2 linked regions of the Saccharomyces cerevisiae S288C genome follow. The gene in region 2 interacts genetically with the main gene of each other region. Each region holds a gene or a part of one and is shown on either strand. Other genes may lie near its edges.

Region 1 (3,758 bases), on a different chromosome or scaffold from region 2:
CAACATTTACGGCCCAAAGTGCAACCACAAGAGAAATTATATCGTTTAGCATATGGAATGAGTCCGCGATTAGAGCCAAAGAGTGAGACAAGTACCCGGTAGTTATCTCGATCCCGAAGAACACTGTGTCTAGCAGCAACAAGGATATAATTTTTACCTGTTTGCTTCCGAGTTTCATATTTACTCAATCTTTCCGTACTTTGTGTTAACTTTCTTTCTATAGCTATGCAGAACTATTCTGAGCAAAGTGAAAATAATTGGTTACTAAATAGAACCAGAAATGCTTTTCGAGCTCCCACGTAGAATATATAAGACCAATAAATTCCTTTATTGTACGGATATTCTGCATTACAAATGAGTCTTCTGCTTTATGCGGATCGTCAGCTTATATTGCCTTCGTACAGAAAATGAAAATTCACTACTGGAAACGGGTGAGCGGATGTATGAGTGTATAGTATACACCCGGTTTTTTTTACCCTTTCTAAGACCGGAGCTGGCGACAGTAAGTGATAAGCGGCCGTTGGCGGCCGTGGGTGAGTTATGCATGGGAACCAGCATGAGCCAGCGATGTTCACTATAAAGAGATTAAATGTAGAAAGTGCTGAGAGACCGATCGATTGGTAAACTTTTCAAAAGGTGGCCTTCTCCACACTTTCTTTTTCCCTCGTTCACTCTGCCTTGATCACATGCTTTTTTCTATGGTTAACTTTGAAAAATTCGTTCCATATCGCCCGCCACAAGTTAAAACCAGATATGCGTGGGATATAGTAGGGTGGACTGTTAAGTTAGCTATAATGGGCTTGTACTCTTTTTGAATACAAAAACCACCTTTCTACACCTTAATACAAGCGGTGGTTGGAAAGCATTCTTGATATATATAATTATATGAGTTTTGAAAAAAAGTACTGGGCATCATTTAAATAAGCGGGCTAAACTTTGTTTATGTTTAGGTTAACGATAGACATATTTATTTTTTTTTCTAGGAATAAAAATGAAGAACGGGAAGAAAAGGAAAAATGAAAATGAAGAATATGAAGAGTAAACCTACTTAAAAAAAAAAACCATACTTTAGTATTTAATGTAGCTACCACGCGTATTCGATACACTATTATTTTTCTTGACTTAGTATGTCAATTGTAGGTAGCCTCATGATGCCCTCTTGATCTAAGCGCGGTGAAAGTCCGCAGGCAATTGCTATAATACTGACAAAATTTATAAGGGGAGAGGGTCTTTTTTCGGTCCGCACGGAGCGGGCGAAGAAAACGTAGCGGTGAGAAAAGAATACGTCACCAAAGTATCAGAAACGTCACTGCGTTGTAGATGTAAGACCGATCCACTTTGCCAGCTGCTTACGCTGCGGAAAGTAAACAGACCTAGCTAGCGGACCGATAGAGCCGGCTGAACTTTATAACAAATGCGCCTTCTAACAAGCGATGAAGCCATGCTTAGCGCGGCAAAGAGAATTACTTAGAATATGGATGATGCAGCCCTGTCATATTCTTCCATAAGGGAATGACAAGGACAATAGTAAAGTCGATCACGCCCTGTCAGGAACATGATCTCCGCCATGTGAATATTTATGCATGATACAGGCACGAATACATCATATAATACGAATGACACAGGGGCACCCACCCATCGCATATCAGGAGAACTTCCCTGTGCATACGGGACAGCAGAGATAGGCTGTTCTCGCGCGTTTTTTTTTTTTTTTTGCTTTTTTTGGTTCCTTTCGCGGATATCGTATTATCGATATTACAACAAAAATGTTTGGAGATCTCCTTCGCTGTCTTTAAGTAAAAGGCTTTAACCGCTTATTTTTCTCTCTTTTTTTCCTTTTACCCCTCACTTGTCGTGAGACAATTGTAGTATATTTAGTAAGTATAGAAAGTTCTTGTTGTTAAAAAACTCGTTAGGATACAATAAAAACTAGAACAAACACAAAAGACAAAAAAAGACAACAATATGGTTGCTCAATATACCGTTCCAGTTGGGAAAGCCGCCAATGAGCATGAAACTGCTCCAAGAAGAAATTATCAATGCCGCGAGAAGCCGCTCGTCAGACCGCCTAACACAAAGTGTTCCACTGTTTATGAGTTTGTTCTAGAGTGCTTTCAGAAGAACAAAAATTCAAATGCTATGGGTTGGAGGGATGTTAAGGAAATTCATGAAGAATCCAAATCGGTTATGAAAAAAGTTGATGGCAAGGAGACTTCAGTGGAAAAGAAATGGATGTATTATGAACTATCGCATTATCATTATAATTCATTTGACCAATTGACCGATATCATGCATGAAATTGGTCGTGGGTTGGTGAAAATAGGATTAAAGCCTAATGATGATGACAAATTACATCTTTACGCAGCCACTTCTCACAAGTGGATGAAGATGTTCTTAGGAGCGCAGTCTCAAGGTATTCCTGTCGTCACTGCCTACGATACTTTGGGAGAGAAAGGGCTAATTCATTCTTTGGTGCAAACGGGGTCTAAGGCCATTTTTACCGATAACTCTTTATTACCATCCTTGATCAAACCAGTGCAAGCCGCTCAAGACGTAAAATACATAATTCATTTCGATTCCATCAGTTCTGAGGACAGGAGGCAAAGTGGTAAGATCTATCAATCTGCTCATGATGCCATCAACAGAATTAAAGAAGTTAGACCTGATATCAAGACCTTTAGCTTTGACGACATCTTGAAGCTAGGTAAAGAATCCTGTAACGAAATCGATGTTCATCCACCTGGCAAGGATGATCTTTGTTGCATCATGTATACGTCTGGTTCTACAGGTGAGCCAAAGGGTGTTGTCTTGAAACATTCAAATGTTGTCGCAGGTGTTGGTGGTGCAAGTTTGAATGTTTTGAAGTTTGTGGGCAATACCGACCGTGTTATCTGTTTTTTGCCACTAGCTCATATTTTTGAATTGGTTTTCGAACTATTGTCCTTTTATTGGGGGGCCTGCATTGGTTATGCCACCGTAAAAACTTTAACTAGCAGCTCTGTGAGAAATTGTCAAGGTGATTTGCAAGAATTCAAGCCCACAATCATGGTTGGTGTCGCCGCTGTTTGGGAAACAGTGAGAAAAGGGATCTTAAACCAAATTGATAATTTGCCCTTCCTCACCAAGAAAATCTTCTGGACCGCGTATAATACCAAGTTGAACATGCAACGTCTCCACATCCCTGGTGGCGGCGCCTTAGGAAACTTGGTTTTCAAAAAAATCAGAACTGCCACAGGTGGCCAATTAAGATATTTGTTAAACGGTGGTTCTCCAATCAGTCGGGATGCTCAGGAATTCATCACAAATTTAATCTGCCCTATGCTTATTGGTTACGGTTTAACCGAGACATGCGCTAGTACCACCATCTTGGATCCTGCTAATTTTGAACTCGGCGTCGCTGGTGACCTAACAGGTTGTGTTACCGTCAAACTAGTTGATGTTGAAGAATTAGGTTATTTTGCTAAAAACAACCAAGGTGAAGTTTGGATCACAGGTGCCAATGTCACGCCTGAATATTATAAGAATGAGGAAGAAACTTCTCAAGCTTTAACAAGCGATGGTTGGTTCAAGACCGGTGACATCGGTGAATGGGAAGCAAATGGCCATTTGAAAATAATTGACAGGAAGAAAAACTTGGTCAAAACAATGAACGGTGAATATATCGCACTCGAGAAATTAGAGTCCGTTTACAGATCTAACGAATATGTTGCTAACATTTGTGTTTATGCCGACCAATCTAAGACTAAGCCAGTTGGTAT
Region 2 (3,758 bases):
GTCGCATTATTTTCCAAGCGGAAGGAACCGTGTGTTCATTTTATGAATCTTGGTGTTGTATTCACAGCTACTTCTCCTAATGCCTTCGATGCATTTAGATAATTTTTGGAAACATTTTTTTTCTTGATGTATATTTTTTGTATTGTAGAAATCGCGCGTACTGTACTTGTATATCGCTTTATAAGCGCTTTTAATTGATTGTTCATGACGAGGATAGGCGGATAGGCGGAGGTATGCCTCTTAATATTTATAATAAAGCCCACCAAATGGCTTCTTCTTTTTAGAATATACAATATACAAATAAAAATAAAAAAATAGAAGAACATCCTAGTAATTGTCTTGAAAATAATCAAGATATTGATTGGGATTTTTTATTTAGGGAAACCAAATAATTGCATATGCTTGTTACATCATCATCAGTCATATAAAGTATGTTGTCCGTACTAATGGTGGTATTTACCTTCCCCGAGTGTTACTGATAGGACCAACAAACTTACCGTTAGCATTATGTATCCTATGACTTCCCATCTCACAATTGTGGTTTGCGTAGGTTCGCAAACCCACTCAGCTAACCCCATAAAGATAATAGCTCCCAGGTTGCACGTCGTCAAATACTCAGCAGGGGCCTTGCGATTCAACTCTAATATCGAAATCAAGCTCGGCAAGGAACCAAAGATAATCGAGCCTAGTAGAGAGAACCAAAAGCTCTTGTCATTATAGAACAACGAAATGGATTCCACAGACTCACGGGAGGGAAATTTAGGAATAAATGGCAAAAGTATTACCATGCCAATAATACCGATTAGGGCCATGTGGGTGCTCTGCTTAACCAAGACTACAGCAGAATTTTCGTTCTTGGAAATGTTACTGCAAAACCAACGGTTCCATAACACGGCAAAAGGACCCATAATCAAAGCACCAAGGCCGCAAATCAGAGCACCTTTCAACCTATCAAACAAGAATGGGTCAGAAAGTTCACCCGTGTTAGGGTTGACGGACAGCTTTCCGGCAAGCATGTCACAGGTAGCCTTCGTGTATGAGATGATCAAAATTCCAATGACCGCGTTCATCATGATGAGGAAATTACGGAAAACGTAGTTCTTCCTGGAGATTCCACAAACACCATATAGTAAAGTGACAATTTCGAAAATGGCAGTATTTTGCATCAAAGCAACATCAAATGCCGGTGACAATGACAAAGCCATGTTATAAGTCAAATCAGCGACAATCATTATGAGAGCCAGCACTGTTAGCTTAGCCACATATTTGAAGGTAGCCACGGATATGATTTTTTGCTTCTGCTGTTGGGCTGGAATCCGTGGTTGAGGATCATCCAACACGTGCGAGAACGTATCGACATCTTCGTTTGTCACAGACCCGCTGTTGTTGTTGTCAAACTGAGAATTCCTGTTCGAGTCTGAGTCAGAGACAAACATCGGTCTCATCTTCTCCCAAAGTCGAGATGCAGGCACCAAGAGCAGCCACGAAGCAAAATACATAAAGGTCAGATAGAAGGTTAATGAACTTGAGTTTCCGTTGTCGCCGTTAGTTTCAGGCGTTGCAATTGTACCATTGGGCCCCACGGAGATTTCCTTTTTAGATTGTATGTTAGACAAACATTTTGTTTGAATCACGTAGCCTATTACACTTGAAAACCAAAGTAGTGTGGTAGACATGACGCTGTATCTTTGTTTGTTATCGTGCTAACTCACCAGCTCAAGAGCGGATCTGTTCTGGAAGAAAATGGCCTACAAACATTTCTTTCACTTGATCTTCCCACGTTCACATAGCCTCCTTTAGAGTGAGAGAGCTTTTTTTTTTCTTGCGATACACCTTCGCCGGGTGATAGCCGATATTACAAGAACGGGTTATAGCGTTATAAGTATATATGTATATACAAGGAAGAAAGTAGCATATATTTACAATCTTATTTGAATAAGAAGGAGTACCATGCCTCCTTCTGCTTGGCGCGCTGCTCTGCAGGCACATAACTCTTAACGTGTTCCACGATCTTGTCCACGCCCGTTTTTTCATCATAATTTCTACCCAAAGCATCAACAAACTGTCCTTCAGGGTCCATGAGATAAAAGAAGATGGAATGGTCTACCAAATAATCTTGGCCCGGTTTGACGTTTGGAGGCGTAGAAAAGTATACTCTGTACTTCTTGCATGCGTTCTTCACCTCATCGAACGTCCCCGTCAAACCCAGGATGGAGGGATGAAAGTCGCTCAAATACTCTTTCAATACAGCAGGGGAGTCTCTTGCTGGATCACAAGTTATAAATAATGGCTGCAGAGTAATACCATACTTTGAAGAGAGTGTATTAAGCCATAGACCTAGCTTATCCAGTTCATCAGGACAGATGTCAGGACAGTTACTAAACCCAAAGTATATTATAGAAAACTTACCGAGAAGGTTTTTCTCCGTAAACTCATTGCCATACATATCCTCCAGATGGAAGGGTCCCCCAAGTGAAGGTTTACCGTATCCTCTGTTTGCTTCAGCCTCCTTCTGTGTTTCCAATCTGCGTTTCTCCCTGTTGAAGAAATAAGAAAGTGCCCCACCGACTGCTAGGAATAGAGCAATGGCCTTTCCCGTGGAAAACTCGATCGAGCCTTCTCGCACTTTGCCGTTATCCTTAATGGGAGTACCGCCCACAGGTACTCTGCTTAATGGTTTCTTGCCATTTGACTGCCATAAGCGCGTTACAGTAAAGAATCCCCTTTGAGTGAGCAATTTAGCGCCATTGCCACTTAATCTTGCGGCTGGCAATTGGACCAATCTTAGATTGGCACTTCTTGACAACTTCAGCATCTTTTCTACGTTTGCTGTTTTTTCTGTTTCCCTTGCCTTATACGAACATACGTTTCTAATGCCGATTATAAACACAATAGACACAATTATACTATTTTCTCACTTTTCTCTTCGGGAGATCGCTATTGATTATTATTCCCGTTTATTTCCTTCAATTTAGGGTCTGAAAAGAAGATAGTAGGGTTAGTTTTTTGGGGTTTAAAACCCTAGTATAAACCCCTATACTATTTGTTTATATATTTCCTATTTGAGTATGATAGCATCGATATTGAAATTTACAGAACTTCAATTTAGTTTCAATTGGGAATTCGAGGACTCTCCCTTGGGATGGCCCCAGTCTATTTAACTATCTTCCATAATATTACTGTTGATTTCGTGACTCAGAAGAGAAAACAGAGGAAGTTACATATAGACCCAAATAAAAACCAAAGAACCACATATAGAAATGACGAGAAACCCGTTTATGGTGGAACCTTCGAATGGCTCTCCTAATAGACGTGGTGCTTCAAACCTCTCCAAATTTTACGCAAACGCTAACAGCAACTCTCGGTGGGCTAATCCCAGTGAGGAGAGTTTGGAGGATAGCTATGACCAATCTAACGTTTTCCAAGGCCTTCCGGCATCTCCTTCGAGAGCTGCACTAAGATACTCCCCAGACCGTCGCCATAGAACTCAATTTTACCGCGATAGTGCCCATAACTCTCCAGTTGCTCCGAACAGGTATGCTGCTAATCTACAAGAGTCTCCCAAAAGAGCAGGCGAGGCTGTCATACATCTAAGTGAGGGGAGTAACCTTTACCCCCGCGATAATGCAGATCTACCGGTAGACCCCTACCATCTATCACCCCAGCAACAGCCCAGTAACAATCTGTTTGGAAGTGGCAGATTGTATTCTCAAAGCTCGAAATACACGATGTCTACTACTTCCACAACGGCTCCCTCT

The links. A genetic interaction does not mean that the proteins touch.
Region 1: mutations in CSG2 (region 2) and FAA1 together harm fitness more than expected from each alone (negative genetic interaction), as found in Saccharomyces cerevisiae (4 studies listed by BioGRID).

What each region holds. Positions count from the first base shown.
Region 1 is NC_001147.6:907,378-911,135, forward strand, and holds the start of FAA1 (long-chain fatty acid-CoA ligase FAA1), read left to right. Parts: upstream 1-1,965; coding exon 1,966-3,758. Other genes in the region: metal cation transporter COT1, read right to left, coding at 1-178; YOR316C-A (uncharacterized protein), read right to left, coding at 349-558. UniProt on the Saccharomyces cerevisiae protein: Activates long-chain fatty acids (LCFA) by esterification of the fatty acids into metabolically active CoA-thioesters for subsequent degradation or incorporation into phospholipids.
Region 2 is NC_001134.8:308,638-312,395, forward strand, and holds CSG2 (mannosylinositol phosphorylceramide synthase regulatory subunit), read right to left. Parts: upstream 1,677-3,758; coding exon 444-1,676; downstream 1-443. Other genes in the region: Cu-binding protein SCO1, read right to left, coding at 1,928-2,815; chitin synthase CHS2, read left to right, coding at 3,261-3,758. UniProt on the Saccharomyces cerevisiae protein: Required for calcium regulation. May regulate calcium accumulation by a non-vacuole organelle. Also regulates the activity of CSH1 and SUR1 during mannosyl phosphorylinositol ceramide synthesis.